Linked DNA regions of Arabidopsis thaliana. The protein of the gene in region 2 interacts with the protein of the main gene of each other region in a pairwise test. Each region holds a gene or a part of one and is shown on either strand. Other genes may lie near its edges.

The links. Proteins that work in one complex are often made in the same cells at the same time.
Region 1: the proteins of RXW8 (region 2) and AT1G24650 interact in a protein complementation assay, tested with the Arabidopsis thaliana proteins (one large-scale study listed by BioGRID).

Annotation. Positions count from the first base shown.
Region 1 is NC_003070.9:8,731,978-8,739,369, reverse strand, and holds AT1G24650 (Leucine-rich repeat protein kinase family protein), read right to left. Parts: upstream 4,801-7,392; coding exon 2,628-4,800; intron 2,543-2,627; coding exon 2,055-2,542; downstream 1-2,054. UniProt on the Arabidopsis thaliana protein: Involved in auxin signal transduction and cell expansion and proliferation regulation.
Region 2 is NC_003070.9:21,729,741-21,739,659, forward strand, and holds RXW8 (GDSL-like lipase/acylhydrolase superfamily protein), read left to right. Parts: upstream 1-2,825; 5' UTR 2,826-3,063; intron 3,064-3,677; exon of another isoform or gene 3,678-3,714; 5' UTR 3,715-3,802; coding exon 3,803-4,083; exon of another isoform or gene 4,084-4,180; coding exon 4,181-4,327; intron 4,328-4,430; coding exon 4,431-4,494; intron 4,495-4,618; coding exon 4,619-4,828; intron 4,829-5,457; coding exon 5,458-5,652; intron 5,653-6,077; coding exon 6,078-6,376; intron 6,377-6,597; coding exon 6,598-6,874; intron 6,875-7,200; coding exon 7,201-7,476; intron 7,477-7,770; coding exon 7,771-8,004; intron 8,005-8,089; coding exon 8,090-8,267; intron 8,268-8,345; coding exon 8,346-8,425; 3' UTR 8,426-9,010; downstream 9,011-9,919. Other genes in the region: AT1G58525 (GDSL-like lipase/acylhydrolase superfamily protein), read left to right, coding at 173-416, 510-640, 729-953, 1,056-1,311, 1,432-1,604. UniProt on the Arabidopsis thaliana protein: Acts as an osmosensitive calcium-permeable cation channel.

The DNA.
Region 1 (7,392 bases), about 13 Mb from region 2:
CGTTGTGTATCTGACGACCACACAATATTTTCTGATTATTAAAAGATACACTTGTTCTACAAGTGAATTACAACATCATATAAATTTTACACATCCAGAATCTGGATCTTTTATCTATATAGCAAATTAGCAAGCACTCTTTTGAACAATGAAGCATGCATGCTTTATCTACCAAGAAAGTAACAAAGAGTATCAATCATATACAAGATAACTAGAGAGCTGAAACTAGGTAGAGAGCATTATACCTCCCATATCAGAAGCCATTAAAATCTAATCTTTGTACTTGATAGTTACCACTGAGGTTCCAGTAACAAAACGGGTACCTACCAAAATCAACTAAAAATATGAAAACCTAAACCTAATTATTTTCCGAGATTCAAGAACACTAAAAGAGAGATTTTACAATGTTCTTTGGGATTCAGCCTCATCATTCTTCGCTCCATTCCCGTTCTCAACCGGAATAATGAGCACGATTAGAGAAAGTCATAACAGATCCATGAGCAATTGGAAATTTGATCTGACTTACAGTCATCTTTTCAGAAACTCGAATGTCTTAACGATCTCATCTTCTTCTTCTTCTTCTTCTTTATAAACTCATTATGTTAAAATCTAGTCCGCTAAAGGTCATTTATAGTTAAACTTAATGTACATGCATTTGCCTAAGGGCTGCTGTTATTTTGTTATGTTCAAATCAGTTCTTCCAAATTGTCTCGTCCGGAATTAAATTAATATACTTGCAAAAAAATTTGTTATATCTTAAATTTTGGTTTTTGTTAGTTTTTTTTGGATCACTAATAATTTGTAATGTTGAATTCATTTGGCTTTTTTTATTAGTCAACAATACTTTTAGACATTATCTATTATTAACTAACATGTTTGTGTTTCAATTTAACTAATTCATTAAGGCCATAGGAAAATCGTCAAATACTAACCACACAAAATAACTATAGATACTGTACTTTGGTGTCATTAAATTCAAATTGGACTTTCATGTTACCCAAAAAATGAATCGTTTTATAATTTTTATGTTTGTTATTGCGACGTATTTTGGATTGCTTGTATCAGTTCTGTCTTGTAAACGTAACACAATTGAAATTATGAACGAGCTTGGTCCCGGTTTGGTTCTCCAGTATCATTGTCATTCAAGAGACGACAATCTAGACGTAGCAAATTTATAATTTAAGGAAATAAAACAAATCCGTTTCGGAGACAAGCTAGGAAGAAGAACAAGATGGACTTGTCTTTTGAAACACGGCTTATACATGCGATATTATAAAGAATTCATAGCATATAGAGCAGGCAACATTGACCGATGTGGTGCTCTGCGTCGTTGGGTTGTTAGAAATGATGGAATTTACCTTGTGAGGGATCGAAATCCTCAACCAAAGTTCCATCATGCATGGAATAAAACTAAGTAATGTTGATGACAATACAATTTTTTTGTTTTTGACCCAAAATGTGCCTAAATTTGTATTAGCCCCGTATAATCTCCATTAATTGATGGATTACATGAAAGCTAAATGAGATAATTTGTTGTGTTTTTTCCATTCTTCTGTATTAAAAAATAAGACAAGGCCTGAATGTTTCCATGTAGAGACAACTCGTAGGAGACAACTAAAAAAAAAGTTTGATGCCTGATCATTTATGTACGTAGCATATGATGTAAAGCACAATAAAAATGTACAAATTGTGATGTACAATGTCTTAAACCATAAAAGAAATCAGTTGAAATTCGGGAAAACTATAAAATAAAAAATTATATATGTCAAACCATTTGACTCAAATGATACATCAATCAAAATAAATTCTTGAGACAATGCCAATGCCCAACCTAAACTTCTAAATATCTAGAAAGTGTCCAGCTAGTCTACGACAAAAGACCAAAACACGTGTCCAATTTAAGCATATGGGTTCCATTCGTGCGAAAAGGACACCCTAACTTGAAAAGGAAGGTAACCAACAAGATATATTCACTATCCGCAAACCTAAAACAAGAACTCATCCAACAGCAAAACCTTTCTCATTCCATGTTCCAGCTAATTCTCTAACACATTTTACCTCCCTTGTCCTGATTTGAATGTGCTTTCAAGCTCGGAAGGTCGCGAAGGTATGCTCGTCAGAGTATTATCTCCAAAAAAACACGAATCAAGAATAAGTTGAGGAAGAGGAGTGTCGTAATCAATTCCATAGATATCTTCCGAGTCACTGCTTCGTTCTGTGGGTTTCCATTGTACAACAAGTGAGACCAACACGTTGACAACGTGATTCATGTCGGGTCTATCTCGCGGTTCCCTGGAGCTACATTGATTGGCAAGCTCAGCTACTATGTTGATGCTTCTGAGTGTCTCTTCGTTGACCTCCATTGCTTCGTCTATCGCCTTTGGGAATGAGCCTTTGTTGATAAACATTCTCCTAAACCATGTGGCAAGATGTACTTCTTCCTCAGATCGTGCAACATCAAGAGCTTTTCGACCCGTTAGTAGCTCCATGAGGATGACTCCAAAGCTGTAAACATCAACCTTTGTTGTAACTCTTCCGGTCACTGCAATGTACATAGAGATTTCAATATTTTACATTTAGTGAGTTTAGAACGAGTAGCAACATACAAAATAAGCATAAAACCATACCTGCATACTCTGGTGCAAGATAACCAAATGTTCCAGCAATCTTGGTCTCAATTGATTGTGTACCTTCTGGTGCAAGCCGGACTAAACCAAAATCAGCAACTTTAGCATGCATGTCATCTCCAAGAAGAATATTAGAAGGTTTAAGATCTCTGTGTATGAAACTTTGATGTGCTAAAGTATGCAAATACTCAACTCCTCTAGCCACATCCAATGCAATAATCAACCGTCTAGTCCACTCGAGAGGCCTCAACCCTTCTTCCTTCCAATAGAAAATATGCCTACTTAATGTCCCTTGTGGCATGTACTGATAAACAAGAAGTCTCTCATTGCCTTCTAAGCAATAACCATGAAGAACCACTAGATTTCGGTGGCGAACTCTAGTAAGAACAGCAATCTCTGATTTAAACTCATCTAAACCCTTTCCACTTATAATCGAAGATTCCATTCTCTTAACCGCAATCTTTGTTCCATCATGCAACTCTCCCTTGTAAACTATTCCAAATCCTCCTCTCCCAAGTATATTCTTCTCATCGAAATTATATGTAGCATCCCTCAAAACTTGTATTGAGATCACAATATTTCCAGCTTCTCCTAGATGAGCGTCATTACCACTGAATCCACTTTCACTAACACCAGTACACAGATTCTCAATTGTAATCTTGAACGCATCTTGGTCACTAGATTGTTGTTGAGGATGCATCTTATGATATTGCATCTTTTTCTTGACCAAAAAGAAAATAGCAACCCCTATAAGAAGCAAAGCTAACAAAATACCAATAACAGAACCAACAATTTTCCCAGCATTACTAGATGCTTTCTTTCCAGCATTGCCATTAGGACAGTCCTCAAAATTCCCAGTCGTGTTAACAATAGTTGTGTTAAAACGAGGTACTTCACCACACAACCGATTCTTCGAAACATCCAGTGTTTTCAAGTTACTCAACTTAGCGAGCTCTTGTGGAATAGTACCATTAAGATTATTCTGAGAGAGATTAATAACACGAAGAGACGCAAAATCAGCAAATCGTGGAGATATAGTGCCGTTGAGCCCCAAGTTTTTGAAGTTGATAACTGTGATATCAGTTCCAGTACAAGTGATCCCTACCCATCCACTACAAGGATCATTTCCTTTCCATTTCTCCGCAAAATTCACCGGGTAACCAAAGGCTTCAACGATTGAAAGCAACGTGTTGACACGGGGATCACAAGAAGTACCTGGAGTATCTAAGCAGAAACTATTGAGACCATTCAGATCAGGCTTAATGTCAGGAGCCGTGAAGTTTGGAGTTGGTCCTTGAAGCAAGTTATTACCTAAAGCAACATCAGAAAGAGATTGCAGCTCAAACAAAGAAGAGGGAACGAGACCCGAAAGCTGATTCTCCCTAACATTGAAACTTTTCAACGAGACTAAACCAGAAAAGTCTGGTAAAGGACCGGAGAAGCTGTTCCCTTGCAGCGTAACATTGGTCAAAGAAGTCATCTTTTGCAGAAACGAAATTGACCCATGAAGCTTCTCCCTTCCCTTTTGCCCGTTAAGCATCAGAACTTGAACACGTGAGTCGGAGAAATTCATGGGAAATTCACATACAAGCGAGTTATAAGACAGTTTCAGAGTCGTCAAACTAGAGAAATCTTTCCCCTCGAAGAGATAATCCGGGATCTTCCCGGAAAGATTGCAGTTGACAGCAGAGAAATCTACAAGGGAAGTCGCGTTTTCCAAACTCGGAGGTATCACCCAAGAATCAAAAGGATTGTTATCCAGAGAAACATGCTGAAGAGAACTCAAACCAGAGAAGAAATCCTCAGGGACAGAAGTGAAATCATTGTCATTAGCATACACAGTTACCAACGATTTCAACCCAGCAAGACTCGGTATTGGTCCTGTTAAACGGTTCCTCATGACCTCGAACTTCGTCAAAGATGTTAGCTTTCCGAGATCAGGAGGTAGCTTTCCTGAGATTCCTCTGTCCCCGATTTGGATCGCGGTGACCCGATTGCTTGCGTCGCATTTTATGAACATAGACCACTTACAAGGATCCGACCCGGACCAGTTTGGATTTCCAGATAGCTTCAAGGAGTCTCTCAGAGCTATCATGACCGCCTCATCAGGGCTCGATTCAACGTTCACCAAGGCAATGAAACAGAGCAAAAGGAGGAAGTTTTTTGCGATCATTATCTTTTTTTTTCAACTGAGAAACAAACGCAGGGAGGCGTTGATTCACAGACAGTGATAGATTAGGGCTTAAAGACTTCAAAGGAAGAAACTTTTTGGGCGGAGATTTTCTTCTTCTTCTTGAATTGAATGAGAAAGGAAAAAACGAAACGGCAGATTTTATTGCTTTTTTTGGAAATATTAAATTGACTTGAGCGAGGGAAGTGCTTTTATTGTTATTTCCCATTTCTTGGTTTTGTTAATAAATGATTTGTTTCCTTTTCATCTGACCAAGGAAAGAATGTTAAAGGACGCAATCTTTCTGTATTTACAGGCCCAGATATATAAAAATCATAGATTTTAAGGCCCAGTATTATTTTCTTTTTTCTTTTGTGTAACTAGGCCCAGTATCTTATTTTAGTTTCTTTATTTGCTGAAATAGCATTTTAACAAAATGCATTTGCACTGTTCGTAAATCTACATTTCTTTATTATATTTTCTTTTTTGTATTTTTTTTTACTGAGATTTGTTTCTTTTTAAAAATAATGAAAATTCCAAAACTCTCATTTATTTATTTTGGAACGGTTTTATAGTTTTAGGCTTTTAGCATTATAAAATTGAATACAACTGAAATATATATGATTATAATAAACTAAAAAGAAACTTACTTTTATTGATAGTAAATTATAATTGTCAAATATCATATATTTTTTCTCATTGGAAGTTCTATAATCATTTGGACCAGTCCTACCATTTAACGGTGGTGTTTTTGATAAACTGAGGAAAATTACTGTTAGGAAAAACTTTAAAAGTAAGGGTTATCATGATCAAGTTCGTAGCAAATGACAAATTCGATATTCAATAACACAGAGCTATTCTAGCAACCAAACTGAGGTCTTACATCTATGCATATTATTGAGTCAAATAATTAGATGATTATCCTCTTTGTTTGCTCCTTTTTTTATTACTTTATTTTTAGGTCAAGTTTGAAGTTGGGTACTCACAAAAATACCTTTTTTTTTTGTCATCTGGATTATATTAGAAAATTAAAAGTTTCAGAATATGAAACCACCGATTACAAGGCTAAACTAAACCAAAGTGAAGCGAACAAGTTAGCCTACCACAAGACCCAACTCCAACATATTCAAAAGTGGTCTAAACAAAAAAGAATAAGCTCTGAACCATCGAGCACCACATAAGCCAAACCCTCCATATACAAACCATTGATCTCAAACACTGAGCATCAACACCAAAACGACTTCTCACTATCAAACAGAATACAAACCTCTTTCTTCAACAAACACACCATTCATCCAATAAGGATGCCCCACAGCCACATAGGATTGAGACCGAGACGCCTCCGTAACACTTTGGGCGATGAGGTTTGCTCCTCTGTTTGCAGCAGAAAATTCCAATTCCACCTTCCACACCAAAAAAGGTAACTATGATCTATTTAAAGCCACACTCTGAGCTTTAAAAGAAGGCCACGCCCTTGGTCTCAACACTGCACCAATCAGAGACTTATCTTGAAAGGCAAAGATAATATTATCAATTTTATGACTGGCCATACTCTCCATAGCCCATAGGAGACATCTGAGCAAAGCATCAGCCTTGCTAGAGATAGGAGCAAAAGAACGTCTACTGTGTAACAACACTATACCATCCTGATCTCTTAAAACCCAAGCCCCTCCAGCAAAATTGTTTCTTTTTTACCAAGAAGCCCCAATGTTACATTTAACCCAATTCGCTGGAGGTTTAATCCATAAATTCTCCGATACACTGCCTACAAAATGAACACCATTACTCAGGGGAGGATTAAGGGCAGAACCCTCACCATCTAAGCATTGAGCTTCAAACCATTCCACCACATCATCCCTAATCTTTATCACTGTATCAGTAGCTGGGTAGCTTATCCCCTCAAAGATGAAAGAGTTCCTATTTTTCCAAATCCTCCACAAAATCCATGGAAAAATTTTCCTGAGGTTAATAGGCCATTCTTTATTATCTTTGTTCTCCAAGAGATGATTGATGTTGGAATAAATAGAGCCGTTACTAAAACCATCAGGAGGAAAAGGATAATCAGAAAGAGCCCAAATTTGTCTAGAGAGTGGGCATAGAAACAAGGTATGATTCGTCGATTCCCCAAGCTCACCACAGACCTGACATGTGGTATCAACGACATTCCTCTACCATTCAAGTTCTCGGCAACCGGAAGAATACCACTAAGCACCTTCCAAAGAAAAATCTTAATCTTTGGATCAGTCTGAAGGTTCCACACCTGAGTTTTCAACCCTAGAGTAGAAGGCTGCATAGAGACTTCGCTTCTCAGATTTTGGCTCTTTGTTTGATAAGCTAACCAATAGGCAGACTTGACAGAAAAATCTCCACTTTTATTTAACTTCCAAACGAAAAAATCTGCTTGAGATATCACTGGTTTAATAGCTTTAATTCTGAGAATGTCTTCTGGCAGGAATAAGTCATGAAGAACCTCTTCATCCCAAAACCCCGTTCTTGGGTTTAACAAGGCTTTAACTTTTAAAGTCACATCATATATCAGGTTTTTTCTCCAAGGGGCCCTAAAACCATTATCATCTATCCAGGGATCTATCCATA
Region 2 (9,919 bases):
ATATCAAAGTAATAACTAATTCGAGATTTCATATATAGAACCTAACAACTGTTGTTTGAAAGAGTTATTTTTAGAAGTCCAACAAATCGAAACCATGTATATATGTGCACATGTCTTTGAATGTAAAACGCAAGCCAATCTCGAGCAGAAAAGTTACAAACTAAAGAAGAAGATGAAGCTTCAAATTCTATTGCTTGCTTTGGTTTTAATCGCTGTTGAAGCGAATGCAGTCAAGCAAGGGATAAACGCAACGATCCCAGCGCTAATAGTTTTTGGAGATTCAATAATGGATACAGGAAATAACAATAATCTTCCGACTCTTCTTAAATGTAACTTTCCTCCATATGGTAAAGATTATCCTGGAGGCGACGCCACTGGAAGATTTTCTGATGGAAGAGTTCCTTCTGATCTTATTGGTAACTATTTGAATTAACTTTTATATTTTTCAAAATTATAAATCATATCTATTTATATATATAATCTGATAAATATGTTATCAAATATTTCAGCGGAAAAGTTGGGATTGGCTAAGACATTACCAGCATATATGAATTCATATTTGAAGCCTGAGGATCTTCTTAAAGGTGTAACATTTGCATCTCGAGGAACTGGTTATGATCCATTGACAGCAAAAATTATGGTACCATATATCTTATGTTTTTCCATCACGACTGTTAGTTGTTTTTATGGGTGATTCCTTTTTGTTACATTTATGTTTATTTTTGTAGTCAGTGATATCGGTATGGGATCAACTCATATATTTCAAAGAATATATATCAAAGATCAAGAGGCATTTCGGAGAAGAAAAAGCCAAAGATATCTTGGAACATAGTTTCTTTCTTGTGGTGTCTAGTAGCAATGACCTTGCTCACACTTATTTAGCTCAAGCTCATAGATATGACCGTACCTCTTATGCCAATTTCTTGGCTGACTCTGCTGTCCATTTCGTGAGAGTAAGTATTTTATTCGTAGTTATATATAATAATACATAAACTAATCAATAATATATTGTTATATCCACTAACTATTTTATCTTATCTATAACTGATAATTAGGAATTACATAAGCTTGGAGCTCGAAAAATTGGAGTGTTTAGTGCAGTCCCCGTTGGTTGTGTTCCATTACAAAGAACAGTTTTTGGAGGTTTTTTTACAAGAGGATGTAATGAACCTCTAAACAACATGGCAAAACAATTCAACGCAAGACTTTCTCCAGCATTAGATTCTTTAGATAAAGAGTTGGATGGTGTTATCCTTTACATTAATGTTTATGATACTCTTTTTGACATGATCCAACACCCTAAAAAATACGGTAAGTTCATCTAACAGATTTATCTATATAGAAACTATATATTATAATTCATTTTTATTGTCGAACTAAATTTTATTCCAATTATCTCATTTCTTTTAGGTTTTGACGTAGCCGATAAAGGATGTTGCGGTAAAGGACTGCTCACAATATCCTATTTATGTAACTCATTGAACCCATTTACGTGTTCTAATTCTTCATCATACATATTTTGGGATAGCTATCATCCATCTGAAAGAGCTTATCAAGTTATCGTCGACAATTTACTCGATAAATATTTGAGCAAAGTCTATTGATGTTGAGGAATCAAAGAAAATTGTATCTTTTTGTTTCAAATTTTTTTTCATCTTAATTCATGTCTCACTATGTATTCATATCTTAAATTTTAAATATTCATTCTTTTTCTATAATAATATTTGGTGGGATAAAGATAAATATTTTCAACGGAAAAATATACAATCAAATAGTGGAATTTTATACGTTTTAGACTATTTTATTCCTTTTGTAACATACTAGTATAATAATACCCAAAATAGTATACATATGTTACTTTCATAAGAAAAAAAAAAAAAAACTATTCTACAGTACTTAGGCCTGGGCAAAAGAACCGCTAACCGATTAACCGAACCGAGCCGAACCGAAAAACATGGTTCGGTTCGGGTTTGGATAGCTTAAAATAACCGGCTGGATATTATATGTTTTAGATTTCGGTTTCGGTTTTGGTTAGGTTAGTAACCGATAACCAAAGGATAACCAAAGCATATATGTATGATAGATAATATATCACATATATTGTATGTATTGACACTTAACTATGTTCTTCTCTTTATTAGTTTGCAAGTTGAATTTTGTGAGTTGTGAATCAGGTATTTTAATATTATGGAGAGTATGGACCATATTTGCATCTTTGTGAGTTGTGAATATATCTTTTTTTACGTACGTTCTATATCGGTTATTGGTCAATTTTTTTTTTTTGTTTCGGTTTTTAGTCGGTTATTTCGGTTTTGGTTTATTTATGGTTACCAAGTTTAATATCCGAACCGAACCGAACCGAAAGATATCCGAATCGAACCGAACCAAAATTCCTCAAATATCCAAAATGGTTCTTATATTACTATAACCGAAATAACCGAAACCATGCGCAACCGAACCGAAACCGAATGGTTAACCGAATGTCCAGGCCTAGTAGTACTATATTGAATAAAACTTTTATGTCATACTCATGCATATCTCACTTGCAACAAGAAACACATGAATCCAAAATCCATGATTCCTTCTTCACCTTTCCTTTAATTTTTCAATAGTCATAACAGTTTTAACTAACACTTGAGCGAACGTTGTGAAAAAAAACGCACCCACACGTGTCGCTATCTTACCCATTCTATCACAAAACCAACGGTCATAATAAATTCGACCACAGAGTAGTCGCTCTCACATAGTATCAAATCTTGGAGCATCAACCATTTTATAACCGACACGTGGCCTAATCGTCGCTCCCTTCTTCACCGGCCACACAACGTGGCCTAATCATTTGTATTTAATTTTAATTATTTGCATGTTTTCATTTTAAGTTATGATTTGAATGAACTGGAAATGCGAACTCTTCGCGGAATTGGAATTTTAAAAGCAATTCGGTGTTTCATTTTTTTTTTTTTCTCTTCTCTTCTCTGCGAATTCTTAGGGTTTCTGAATCTTCTGGTTCTCTTCGCAATCGAATTCTCTGAAGTCAAACCAAAGTTTTTGGTATTTCTCTCTGTAAGTCATGTTTTTTTTTTTTTTTCTGAAATCTCTTCGATTTGGTTTATTCTGTTATACAACTTCGTGTTGTATCTGTAATTTTTCTGACGAATTGGATTTGATGATTTTGCTTCGATTGATTTCCCTGGGAATCGAAATTGTGTTTGTTTCACTGGATTTAGTGGAATGCGATTCTCTGATTCATTGTTTGTTCTACGTTTCCGCGTTTTCATCTATCGTAGTTCTACTTTATTGTTTAGGCACCATTGAAATTGCGAATCGTAATTTTGATTAACGGAAAACAGAAATTGATAACTTGAAATTGAATCTCAGTGCATTATGTTGTTTGTTATCTTTGGGTCGTATGTAACCAACTTATCTTCCTCTGCAAGTTTAGGTACTGATTATGATTTGATTCATGTTTCCAATTTTTCGTATCTGCAATGCAAATGCAGAAAGTTTTGGTTAGTGTTAAGATAGTTTGGATTCAACTTACACGTTTGATCGACGATTGTTTATCAGTCTCTTTCGCGGTGTTTCGTTAGCCTATCTGTTTTTTTAAGCATTGGATTTCAGGACTTTTGTTATTTCGATGTTCTTATCTTTTTTCTTTTTGTGATGTTTTCTTACAGTTTCTCCTGCCAATCTAAGAACCTCCTGTATTGCTAGGTTGGCCATCTTGTGACGAGACGACGTACTTATGAAGTTCTTCTCTTCCTGCGATTTTTAGTCAGGAAGGAGTTGAACTAAGATTAAGATGGAGATATCAGCTCTTCTTACATCTGCTGGAATTAATATTTCGATATGCATAGTTCTTTTATCACTTTACTCCATACTTAGGAAACAGCCAGCCAATTACTGTGTATATTTTGGCCGAAGGCTTGTTTGTGGTGGTGCTAGACGTTATGATCCTTTTTGGTATGAGAGGTTTGTGCCGTCTCCAAGTTGGCTTGTGAAAGCATGGGAGACTAGTGAAGACGAGTTATTAGCTGCTGCTGGTCTTGATGCTGTCGTCTTCCTTAGGATGGTCATTTTCAGGTTACTGAAAATAAACTCTCCCAGATGCTTTTTCTTTGTTCTGCTTCTTGGTTTTGTTCTGTAGTGTTTGTTTTACTTTGTGTTTTTTGTTCTGCAGCATTCGTATTTTCTTTATAGTTGCTGTTATTTGCATTGCCTTTGTGCTGCCTGTTAATTATTATGGGCAACCGATGGTGCATAAGGAAATCCATTTGGAGTCATCCGAAGTGTTTACAATTGAAAATCTTAAAGAAGGCTCAAAATGGTAAATGTTTTTTTTTATCTCTACCTATGTCTCTTTGAAAGATGTTACTCTATGCAGAGTGTGTAAAGTGCTGATTTTTTCTCATTACATTTATTGCTCTCAGGCTGTGGGTTCATTGTCTTGCACTGTACATTATAACCTCAGCGGCATGTCTTCTGCTCTACTTTGTGAGGACCTCGTACCTTAGTTTATCTCATGCATACAGCATACTTGAATACTTACTCTTGGTTCCTCCATGTATCTTCTTATTAGTTTATTTCCCAACCTTTTGACATTTTTTTTATACTGTAGGAGTATAGCACCATAGCTAAAATGAGGCTTGGGCATATTACTGGATGTGCCTCAAAGCCAAGTCAATTTACCGTTCTTATCCGTGCTATTCCATGGTCTCCTGAGCAATCTTACAGCGACACGCTGAGCAAATTCTTCACAAACTACTACTCGTCCAGCTACGTGTCCCACCAAATGGTCTACCATAATGGCATCATTCAGAGACTGCTGGTACGTATATTTCTTGGAACAGTCATTTTTAACTAAACTATTACGCAGGCCACCTTCCTCTTGCTTTACTTGTCAGATTAAAACCGTCACCTAGATTTATTTTAAAAAACTGTTATTGCTCTTTGTGAAAATGATTTGAAGTTTTGAACATTTTGCCAGCTTTAAGTGTTACTTCTTATTGCAGTATTCATTTTGGTTGATAGCTTTCGTAGTTGGTGTAAATTTCATGGTTCTGAATTGTTATGTGCTGCTTGGATGTTATAAAGGGTTATTTGATGACTAGATGCAGAGATTGATGATATTACATAGCACAGTAGATATAATAATGAAATTTAGTTCGTGTATCAGCTAAAAGGGGTACAGTTTAGATGCATATTCTGGGAATATGAAAGGACCTTCTAGAGCAACTCTGTCTGTATCCTACTGCTGGGCTTTCATTCTACTGCTTTCTGATACTGTGGTTATTTCAGTATCACTACATCAGTTTCTCATTTATTACCTGTCAGCATGTTGTAGAAATTGGGTAAATGATATGTGGATGGTTTGTGCTTGTGATAAAGTATTTGAAATTTAATGTTCTATGTCAGATAAAAAGTGTGACGTTTAGATTATTCCAATTTCTGTCTCAGCGTGATGCGGAGAGGATGTGCCAGACTCTAAAACACGTTTCTCCTGAAATCAATTGTAAACCGAGTTTAAGGCCATGCACCTTTTGTGGAGGACCTACAGCCACAAGTTCTTTTCATATCCTATCGAATGAGGCAGACAGTGTGAAAGGAATGGAGCTTGGTGAGTTGACTATGACTACGACTACGACAGAGCAAGTAAGGAATTCTTCTGTCTTTCCCTGATCTAGGCATAGGATGTGGATATCTGTTATTTCTTCTGTCCAGTGGAGAGGATCGTTTCAACTAACATTACAAACTGATTTAGAAGTTTCCACTGCATTTCTTCTCAGTTTTTCACCTGGTCCTGACAGATAAAGACTTCTTTTACTTTAATGGGATACAAATTGAACTTTGGAAGTGGCAGTCTGATTGTCTGATACTGCATAGACTTGTATAGTTTTGTTTACTCGGTACAGTTTTAAACCATCATTAATGATTTGTAGCACCATATTCGACAATTCAGTATAGTTAACTAAGATTTTTCACTTTTGTGGTAGCGATTAGAAGTAGCAATGCTTGATTTTAATTAGTCACAATATAGAATAGCTTACTAAAGCCACAAAATTTTCTGCGTTTTGCAGGAACGTTCAGCTGCTTTTGTGTTTTTTAAGACTCGCTATGATGCTCTTGTTGTTTCGGAGGTTCTACAATCATCAAATCCTATGTTATGGGTGACAGACTTAGCCCCAGAACCTCATGATGTGTACTGGAAGAATCTCAACATTCCTTATCGACAACTTTGGATACGGAAAATAGCAACCCTTGTTGGTGCAGTTGCTTTCATGTTTGTGTTTCTTATTCCCGTTACCTTCATTCAAGGGCTGACTCAACTAGTGCAGCTGTCTCACGCATTTCCTTTTCTAAGAGGCATCTTGAGCAAGTGAGTGCCCTGCTGGTTCCTTACGCATGTATATATATATGGTTTTGTTTCTTCTGGACATGATATTAGAATTGGCGTTAAAAAGTAGGCGGAACTCCGGTGCAGTATAGAACACACGAGCCTTCTCTATAGCTTTCAAACCATTGGAGAAATCAAAATTTATGTTCTTGATTTGTTTTATCATCTTTCAAGTTAATCGGGCCACCAAAACCATTTTGCAGGAACTTTATAAACCAGGTCATCACAGGGTACTTACCCAGTGTGATCTTGATTCTATTTTTCTATGCCGTTCCACCATTGATGATGTATTTTTCGGCCTTGGAGGGATGTATTTCACGGAGTATAAGGAAGAAGAGTGCTTGCATCAAAGTCTTATATTTTACCATTTGGAATGTGTTCTTCGTGAATATATTATCAGGGTCTGTTATCAGGCAACTGAATGTCTTTTCTAGTGTCAGAGACATACCTGCACAACTTGCTAGAGCAGTGCCAACACAGGTAATTTACCCATAGTCCTTTTACATTTCAGAGCAAAAGTTTGAATTTTGCTAATGTTCAGGTTTCTACAGTCTCTGAACATTAGCTAGGTTACATTTTGCCAAGATCTTGCAGCTTTCGGATTGGATATAGTGTTTTCTTGCGCTGGAACTTTAATAGTTTGTTCTTTTTCCTCGTTCCATGATAAAATTATATATCAGAGATATTAAAGCCCATTGGAGGAATTATTTGGGATTGAGCTTTTCTGGTTGCTTGTGTTTCATATTTATTAGGAAAAATGAAAATTGTATCATTGATTTTGAATATGGCTTTAACCATGTATGCAGGCTGGCTTCTTCATGACCTATTGTTTCACATCTGGTTGGGCCAGTTTGGCTTGTGAAATAATGCAGCCTATGGCTCTTATCTGGAATCTGGTAGCAAAAGTTGTTACCAAGAACGAGGATGAGTCATATGAAACACTTAGGTTCCCATACCACACCGAAATTCCTCGGCTGCTTTTGTTTGGGCTCCTGGGTTTCACCAATTCAGTCATAGCACCACTGATACTGCCGTTTTTGCTGATATACTTTTTCCTTGCATATCTCATATACAAAAATCAAGTAAGTGTGTTCTCTGATCTCTTGTACATAATATCACAGTTAATCTCTCCAAAAGCATCATAATGGACTTGTACCTAATTTGTGAAAGCTTAGTTACTTTGTGACCTGCATGTTTTAGATGGAAATTGGATTTGTGCTTTTCGGAATTTTGCTTCTGCAATGTTTATAGTCATGTACAATGTGATAAGAGCCATTAGTAGTGCCAAGCTCATGCATTGAGTAAAAAGAACTCTTGATATATATTTTTAAAGACAACCCTTTGTAGATGCTCAACAGAATTGTTTCTATTTGCAGATACTCAACGTGTATATTACGAAGTACGAAAGCGGTGGACAATACTGGCCTATTTTCCACAACACAACAATCTTTTCACTGATCTTGACACAGATTATAGCTTTGGGGTTTTTCGGATTAAAGCTATCAACAGTTGCTTCGGGTTTCACCATACCGTTAATTCTTCTCACGTTACTTTTTAGTGAGTATTGTCGGCAGAGGTTTGCGCCCATTTTCAACAAAAATCCTGCCCAGGTATATTAAATGTAACCAAAACCTTTGATGTTCCTACTGCAGTTTATGCGTCTTCTCGGTGCTTGATTGATGTGTTTCTTTTCAGGTTCTCATAGATATGGACAGAGCTGATGAAATATCAGGAAAGATGGAAGAGTTACATAAAAAATTGCATAATGTATACTCGCAGATACCATTACACTCTCAGAAATCATCGAGTAAAGCTGAATGTAGTAATCCTTTCAAAAAGCAGGAGTTACCAGATCCTGAAAAATTGAAGCCAGGTTTCGAGTTTATATCACTGTTTGTGTATGATTATAGATATCACTTGATTAGAGACTAATGAGATTTATATTTTTCAGAGGAGGGGGATGCGATAGCTAAAGAGTTATGGGGATTCCAAGGCAATGAATCTGGTCAAGAACATGACACTAAGTCCTGAGCATCTTTCTCCAAAGAAGATCGAACTTCACAAACGGAACTAGACAGATGTTTTTACTAGTGAAGTGCCTATGTGTTGGTTCAATCACAAAGTCTCCAACAAATCAGTGCATTAAGCACAAGAGTTCTCTCGTAGGCATGCTCAGCTGCAAAACCAATGTTACTGGGAATACTTTCACTCACTTGAAGAAAAGTAGATGTAAGTTTTTCTGGGATATTTGATAATTTCTTCAATGAAAATTCCTATACAAATTATATGGGGGAAACATGTACAGTCTTGTTGCCAAGATAAAAATGTACATCTTATAGTTACTGCAAGAAGAAATGGAACTTCTTTATAGAGCTCAGAGTATGAGAAACTAAAACTATCAATCTCTTTGATGAGATGGCCATTTTTCAGTTGTTCATCTATGGAAATTATGTCGTACGAAAGGTGGAAGAAGTAGGATATTGTGAGTTCCTAGCAGATAGGATTTATATACATAAGATCAGGGAAGTAAGTGGTGAAAAAGCAGAGATGATGATTTTACCGAGGAAAAACAAAAAAAGCGAGATGTTGACACATGTTATCTAATAAAATTTGAGAATTTTTAATTTTATTGGCTGATTTGTTTGGAGTTTAACTAATAACAATTGTTACATAATCTTAAATTAATTATATAAAAAAATTATGGTTTCAATTTACAAAAAGCTTAATATTTAACTTAGAGATATATTTTCCCTACTTTTTCCATAATATGAAGTTAAAAATAAATAAAACTATACTTATGCTAAATAATAAAACAAAACAATTGGAATTTTATTTCATTAGCTTATCTGGTTGGAGTTCTAATAATAACAATTGCTTGACATTTCATTTATTATATTAAAAAATAAGAATATTTATTTCCATTTAACCCATATTGTAACTCACTAGATTTTAACCCGCGGTATACCGCGGGGATAATATATTTTTTTAAAGTTAATATATAGAAAAATTTGCAACTTGTATCTATCTATAAAATATTTTTATTTTATAATTTACAATTGTTATTAAGTAACGTCCTGCCAAATCCGTCCCGCCAACCCGTCACGTAAAAATACTTATTTATTTTATTAATGTTGATTTTATTTATGGTATGTTTATGAATTATTGTCTAAATATTTTGTAATTTTGTAGTAATTAACTGATATCAAATATCTTAACGGTTTGATGCTTATAATCGAATTGTTATAGTTATGCAAAAAAGCAATATAAAAAATGATAATTTTGTAATTTTTAAATGAGGTTAAATATTTTGGAAGTTTTATTTTAGTAACTAATCGTGTAGTTAATGTAGAGAGATTTTGGGAAGATAGTTAAATGTCAAATATTTAATTCGAAGATTTACTTTCTAATTATCAAAAACAATTATTAAATGTTAGTGACAGACACTGTAAATAAGTCTCAACTTGAGGATTTATTTCACAAAGTGGTTGCAAAAATGTATATGTAGATGTGTAATGGATTCATGAA